Oryza sativa Japonica Group: one gene and its partner. The main gene of each other region encodes a partner of the protein of the gene in region 2 in a complex. Links are inferred from orthologs where the notes say so. Each region holds a gene or a part of one and is shown on either strand. Other genes may lie near its edges.

Region 1 (4,485 bases), on a different chromosome or scaffold from region 2:
CTCTCCTGTGATTAAACCAGAGTAGAGGAGCTGATTGTCAAGCTGATGGAGTTTTATCAGTTGGTATCAAGGAATGGCCCCAGTGGTTCCAAGAGTTAGCTAAAGGGATTGTGAATAGTGGTAGATTGTGATTCCCTTTTATTATCATTTGCGCTCATTTACCATGTCCTTTATACATTGGCTTGCTGGTTTACAACATTGATGGATCATTTGTTCCCCTCAATTGACACTATGGCCACAATGCAAGAGCTTAATCATGCCCTCTAAGCATTCACCAGTTTACTAACCCCTTGGAGTGTCACTGACAAGAAAATCCTACATAACACTCATAACTTTTTTGACCTTCTCGCCCATACCCAAACACTGTCTGATGATCGGCTGTGTCTTTGACCAAGTTACAGGTATGATTTCCATGGTCAACACACAACTACTTAGTCTTGTTAGTGACTCAGTGTCCGCAATGTACCAAATCAGTCACTGCAATGAAAGCGAAAAGAAATTATGTACCAACGGATAACAACAGTTCAAGAATATCAAGGTCTCAGTCCACAGAGTAGGCACATGAGGCAATAAATCAATGTAATATTGTTTTCTCGATGCTAGCTGTATGAGATTAGAAGAAAAGCTCTAATGTGAGAACAAATTTCCTTTTTGTTTAACCTTGATACATCTTAGCAAAATATGACTTAAATACTCCATTGAGATTGTAGGCAAATCAAAAGTAACAGGTACATGAGGACTCCTAGTCTAGACAAAAACTACATGGTCATAAAACTCATTCTAGTAATACTCATAGGATCCCACCAGAACAGATCCCAGGTATGACCTTAATCATCCAATAGCCCAAATACTATGCAGAAAAGTTAAAACACGATTTTTGAGTTACATATGATCCTACAATACGAACTGTCAACTCAAAAGGCATAAAGAGATCCACTATGCAACCAACAAAAAGATTATCCATGATTTAAAATGCATGTATACCCACCTCCAACAACTCAACCAACCATATCATCTATTCGTATATAGACCTTGTATCATAGCAATCGCCTTGATCTGTTTTCTACTCACGGATTTGTCACCATCTGAGGTAATTATTCCTCGCTGCTTGAGATCCACGATTTCGGACTATCAATTGGAGTACTCTTTTCTTACTCATGTTTGGGCAATTGTTGATTTCTTCTCCTTTGGCAGTTATCAGAGGAAATACCATTTGCTATTATTTATGTCTCTATTCTAGCAATGTAATTTAACAGGGAGATGCTGTCAAACTTTACCTGGGAATGGTAAACTATTTTGAGATTTGGGCACTTAGACAATGCAGTAATATGATTGATTATCTAGAGGATGGGGCTCAAATATATGCCTTTTATTATGTTGGACTTGGGTTTTCTATTTTTTTTCATGAAGAGATTGCTGTGAATACACTCTTCATATACATTTTAGTTCAGTAATCAGCATTCAGCTGGCATGCTTCACTGTTTCTGCTCTAGTTGTTTCATATCCCAAACAGCACTGGGAAAGAAATACATGTTGCATTCAAAGTTCCTTTTGTGCTCTGAAAATCTCAGGCAGTACGCAGCACTCACCTTCTACATCAATGCAACCTAGGATACTTAAAACTGTGTGTTAACTTAGCGTGTTGAACCAATGAGGTGTATGGAAGGCCTTGCTAACCAATGGAAAATCAGGGGCATACTGGCAGGTTCTCTTCTACCTAAGATTGAAGCCTACTGCATCAACTTTCAACAGCAGCAATAGGGCGTAATAATCTTCTTATCAAGCTGCAGGTACAGAACACATGAAATAGCAGCATAGAAGAATTTGTTTGTGGCTAAGATGATTTTTGCTAGTATTTGATTTGTATGTGCACGCAGTGAGATTTTTTTAAAAGTAAAGTTTAACGAGGATTCAAGAGAGAAGTAGAAAATAGATTTGGTTCCATTACCTTGATAACAACGGCGGTGACGGACTTCTCGGAACAGAAGAAGGTGTTGGAGCGGCGGGCGTACTGCTCAGAGAATTTGCGCATAATCTCGAGCGACTTATCAGATGCATCCGCTCCGGCAGCTCCAGCTGTGTACCCCCAAATTAAGCAAAAGAAATCAGAAATCGATCAGATTACAGAGTACTGCATAGATTGAGTAGACGGATACCTTGAACTCGAACTGTGCATTTGCGTCCTCTGGGCATGGGTGAAGGGCAAAAGGGGCTGGCGGTGGTGGAGGCCATCGACATCATTGCTGGACAGCAGCCCACCGATCTGCGAGATGACAAAGGTGTATGTTGTAAAAAACTAATGTTGCTCATTGATCACTCTTAAGAAACATCTTGTAGTTGCAAAAATTATGTGGGTTATACATACCCTTTCTAATACTACTGGGTTGCGATGTAATTATACTAATGGTATGTTTAGATGTAATGATCCTCAACACCTCTTCAAAAGGGAACCTAAATTAAAAACTTGGGGAGGCGCAGCGCTGACGATGACCAACACGATAACATCACCTCACCTCCCAACACGATAGCAACTAGCAAGCAGGTACGATGGAGCGCCATCCCTAACTAAATCAAACCCCCCGACAGAAATAGATCGAGAAAAAAACATAGGGAGGAAGAGGAGAGCACATGTGCATACATACCCTGCTTCTCGGATTGGGAGGGGCTGAGAGGGAGTGAGGAGAACTCCTCGTCGGCACGCGCGCGCGGCGGACGAGGGGGGCGGGCGGTGGCGGCGGCGGCGGCGGCGGCACGCGCGGGAGGGAGGGAGCGAGAGAGAGAGAGAGAGAGGAGGATGGGGAATGAAAGGAGGAGGGGCGTGGAGAGGAGAGGAGAGCCGGTAAACTGGGAGTGGTGGAGAACTGGAGACGTGGTGGAGTGTTTGCCTTTTTCGCGAGAACGACCTCGTTCTCTCACGTTTTTAGATCATAGTCTTGCGAAACTTGATTTGTCCTTATATTTTCGGAAAGTATAGGGGTGTTTTGAATAAACTTCTCTGATGATGAAGGGTTTTTTTTTTTTTTTGCAAAAGTTGAACATCGGTTTAGGCATGTTCACTTTGATGCCAAAAAAATATTAAATTTTGGTAACTTGCCAAAATTTTAGCAGGATTTCTTATATAGTTATCAAAATTTGGCAGCAAACTAAATGTAACCACTTTTTTTTTGGTAACTTTACTAAAACTTGGTAAGGTTAAAAATGACATCAAAGTGAACAGGCCCTTAGTTGGGGAAAATTTTTGGGTTTGGTTGTCACATAAGATATACAGACACACATTTAAAGTATTAAACGTAATCTAATAATAAAACAAATTAAAGATTTCATCAGGAAACTGCGAGACGAATTTATTAAGCCTAATTAATCCGTCATTAGCAAATGTTACTGTAGCACCACATTGTCAAATCATGCCGCAATTAGATTTAAAAGATTCGTCTCGCAATTTATATGCAATTCTGTGTAATTAGGTTTTTTTTCCTACATTTAATACTCCATGCATGTGTTCAAACATTCAATGTGACAGCTGTTTACACCCAAATTTAGCACCTATGTAACGCCCCGATTTTTGTTCGGGATTAAAAATCATTAAATAATGTATTTTCTAGAAATTAAATAAAATTTAAAGCAATTTAATCAAGTGAATTATTGAGGGAATTAAAAATTTCCTTTAAAAATTATTGGCCGAGAATATTTTGTAATATTCTTTGTGCCTTAAAATACTCTCTGAAATTTCCCGCGAATTTTCGGAGCTCGAGAAATAATTTGAATAGTACAAAGTTCATTTAACCAATTAAATAAAATGAAAAACAAATTAAAAACCTCCTCTCTCCCTTTTGGGCCACTCCCGGCCCAATCCCCCTTTCTCTCCCGCGGCCCGCGCGCCTCTCTCCCTTCCTCCCCGGCCTCCCCTCTCCTCTCTTGGGCCGTCGGCCCGTTTCCCCTTCCCCTCGCGCAAAGTCTAAATAACCCCCGGCTTCTCCTCCCTCTCTCCCTCCCCGACAGGTGGGCCCGGCGACCCCACCTGTCAGGCTCTTCCTCTACCTTCGGCTTCCCAGGCAGAAGCCGCCATGGACGGTCGTTGCCGCCCACGTCGCCGCCAATTCCGGGTCCTCCCGCCTGCGCCCTCGCGCCTGAACCGCATGAAATCGGTTCCCCACCACCTCCTCCACCAAATCCCCCACTTTTCCCCAATTTTCGGCGCCAAATCGAGTCCCCACTCCGCGCATGTTGACCTCCACGTCGCCGGCCGTTACCGCCCCAAATTCGCCACTCCCCGGCCTCCCCGTTGCTCCCTCGCGCTATATAAAGCACCCCCGTGCTCCCCTCTTCCGTTTCCTCTCCTCGCCCGAGCTCCCCGTGCCCTTTCCCGCTCTCCCCGCGTTGCTACCTCTCTCCGCCGACTCCGGCGAGCTCCTGCCGCCTCTAGCCGCCGCTCCCGCCGTCCCCGCTCCGCGCCGCTTGCGCCGCCGGCATCGCCGCTCCACACCG
Region 2 (2,854 bases):
AATCCAGTTCATGTGCCATCTATGTTTGGTCAGGTCCAAATATGTATGTGCACAGGCCAAACCTAAAGCATGGCTCTCACTCGACAGATCAAGATTCAAGGGAATTCAACCAGAACAGTGAATACATTTCAAACCATGTAACTCAATTGGAAACATGGAAGGCTAACTCAGCAAGGCCACATTTGATGGGCAGAGGGACGAAACAAGCCTACGGTAAAATCCTGGTGAACACTACTGGTAATTTACTAGTTTGTGGAGTAAACCGAGCCACCAACAATAACCGAGGTCTTGAGAAACCAATTGTGCTACTAAGAATTAACATGTCTAGTTTAGTTGGCTAGCAACCCTGAGCCAAGTTCTCAATGCTATTACTGCAGCAACTAAATAAGCTCATAACAATTGAAATTGGGACTGTGGGATAAATGTTCAAGTGAACAGACCAATAGATAAATACGATCCGATATTCCAATCAAATGCTAAAAGGTTACGCTAGTCAGAGAGATTGATTTCCATCCTGATGAGTAACATATTCTTATAAGCAGCGAATTCTCTTGAAAAGATAACTGGAAAAAATACTACTGAATACAGCCAACAACAGAACCATCAGTATAACCACTTTCATTCATAATTGTCATAATCCGAACCGTTCTCAGTTTCTCAAATCTCAAAATGTTGGTGTTTAACAGAACTACAAAAGAGTGAGGAAGAGCACGCGACAAGTAAACAAACAACAACTTACTTGCGATCTCCTCGCACCCTCTTCAATCTTCTCTTCTAATATACAGATACTGCATCTGCAGACTGCAGACGACGAGAGCACATTATTCTGTAAAAGAGACCTATTCAGCTATTCGTCTTCGACGAGCTCGAATTCGTCCTCTCGAAGGTGGGCGAAGAACCGGACCGGTTTGTCCTGCCCATCCACCCTGAGCTCGAACTCCACCTTGAAGGGGAGATTGGCCGTGATGCGTTTGCCCTTCCAGATGCCGACGTACTGCTTGACCACACCCTCCATGCCACAGATGTCCAGGTCCGGCGCCTTGGAGACGTGGTGGACGCGTACCGGCGCCGTGACGCGCACGCGCTTGCCGATCTTGGGGGCCGCCGCGGACTCCTCGGCGGCCACGTCCGAGGACGGCGAGGAGACGTCGCCGTTGGCGACAACCTGGCGAACGGTGCGGAGGCGCCCGCGGCACAGCGGCGGCCGGAGGCAGCGAGCGGCCGTGGGTGTTGGCGAGAGGAGGCTGCGGTGTAGGAGCCGGGAGGAGGTGGAGGGGGACGCCACGGCGGTGGCGGTGGCGGGTGCCATCGGCACGGTTGGTGGCCGTGTGGGGAATTTCATCGAGCAGGTGGTGCGCACGTGAGGATAAGAGATGCCGATTGCCGAGCCAGCTGAAGGTTGGGGGTGGATGGCGATTGGCGAGGTGGATGTCTACACTGACCTGCGACCATCCCAAGGGTCATTTGGTCCTCCGAGCCAACCAGTTTAAAGAAGCCGAATTTCATGCATCCTTGAGATTAAGATTTTTTTTCTAGCAAATTGTATTCAAATTTGCAATAATCTGATCCCCTTTTCTTTAACACTAGCATGGTGGCTAGCATTCTTATATTTCTCTTATATAATAGCATATATATATATATATATATATATATATATATATATATATATATATATATATATATATATATATATATATATATATATATATATATATATATATATATATATATATTTCTTATTTTATTATTAAAATATATTAAAATGACAATAATTTTAAATTTTGTACTCACTTTACCAAACTAGTAATGTGGAATATTCAAATTGTATTGTACATACATGATAGTTATTAGTTATTTTTAATATCAAATTTTAGTTATTTCTAAATTATATTCCTATATAGAGTCTAGATTCGTCTTCCAATAATCTTTATTATCTTTTGGTATTTCAATCACAACTTTGGGTGTTTATATGTTGTATTTAAATTTGGGCCTTGTCAGGGTTATAGATACCACATACCTAATAGTAGTTGACTAAATCTCAACATGATCCACCACATACCATGTGTTATACGGAAACAACCTTCGGATATAGGAGGAGTTCCGTATAAGGAATGATGACTAGAGTTCTATATGGAAACGACAAGGACTACTCGGATTGTATCCATATTGGTTTCCCTAGTTCTACTTGGATAAGAGGACACCTATGGGTATAAATACAAGGCCCCCTGGGAGGAGAGGGGACACGGACAACATAGACGCCACAAAGCCACAAAGCCAATACAAGTCAACATACGCCAAGACAAGACGCCGGATATCGACTTCAGGGATAAGCACGACTAGTCCCCTACGGTGTCTCCGGATACTGTCAGGAGAGACGAAAGCGCTATCTCTGATCTCGCCGGGCACGGATTCGAGGAGGAAGACTACCCTGTTGTCGACTACGAGTCAGACCTTCAGACCGCCATGTCGACAACAGTTAGATAAGCTACCCCAAATATTGTACTGGTGTGATTATGGTGAATAAGAGTAATACCGGCTTCGGCCAACATGATGTAGGGTTATTACCTGACAATTCAGGGGCCCAAACCTGTATAAAAATCCTCGTCTCCATCTCTTTTACTACAATCTCGCATATATCCTAGTACTAACGATCCCCATACTATGCAAATACCAAAATCGCGACATCAAACGTCGACAGGCCTTTTATTGTATAAATTTTGCATGGACACTTATTTGCATATCTGTTTATTTTATTCTAAAATTTTGTGATTGACTAATTTAGGTATGACGTTGTACAGAAATCAAATTGAGTAACTTTATTATATTTTTATTCCAAATTTTATCAACCCATATT

Evidence for each region.
Region 1: the proteins of ferredoxin-thioredoxin reductase, variable chain (region 2) and ferredoxin-thioredoxin reductase catalytic chain, chloroplastic are in contact, whole or in part, in a crystal structure (PDB 7C3F), measured with the Arabidopsis thaliana proteins. The link is inferred for Oryza sativa Japonica Group from reciprocal best matches to the Arabidopsis thaliana genes FTRA2 and AT2G04700. Residues at the interface, in NP_568195.1 of Arabidopsis thaliana: Leu116, Lys117, Val118, Tyr119, His120, Val140, Trp143, Lys146, Lys147, Ile148, Ser149, Ala150, Asn151, Leu152, Phe171, Thr172, His173, Leu174, Lys175, Glu178; in NP_001323778.1 of Arabidopsis thaliana: Arg88, His89, Tyr90, Asp92, Ala95, Glu96, Gly98, Gln99, Phe101, Trp102, Val107, Pro108, Arg110, Glu111, Arg112, Lys113.

The regions. Positions count from the first base shown.
Region 1 is NC_089043.1:8,136,986-8,141,470, reverse strand, and holds the start of ferredoxin-thioredoxin reductase catalytic chain, chloroplastic, read right to left. Parts: upstream 2,808-4,485; 5' UTR 2,643-2,807; intron 2,264-2,642; 5' UTR 2,242-2,263; coding exon 2,157-2,241; intron 2,077-2,156; coding exon 1,949-2,076; intron 1-1,948. UniProt on the Arabidopsis thaliana protein: Catalytic subunit of the ferredoxin-thioredoxin reductase (FTR), which catalyzes the two-electron reduction of thioredoxins by the electrons provided by reduced ferredoxin.
Region 2 is NC_089038.1:26,934,050-26,936,903, forward strand, and holds ferredoxin-thioredoxin reductase, variable chain, read right to left. Parts: upstream 1,456-2,854; 5' UTR 1,343-1,455; coding exon 848-1,342; 3' UTR 584-847; downstream 1-583. UniProt on the Arabidopsis thaliana protein: Variable subunit of the ferredoxin-thioredoxin reductase (FTR), which catalyzes the two-electron reduction of thioredoxins by the electrons provided by reduced ferredoxin.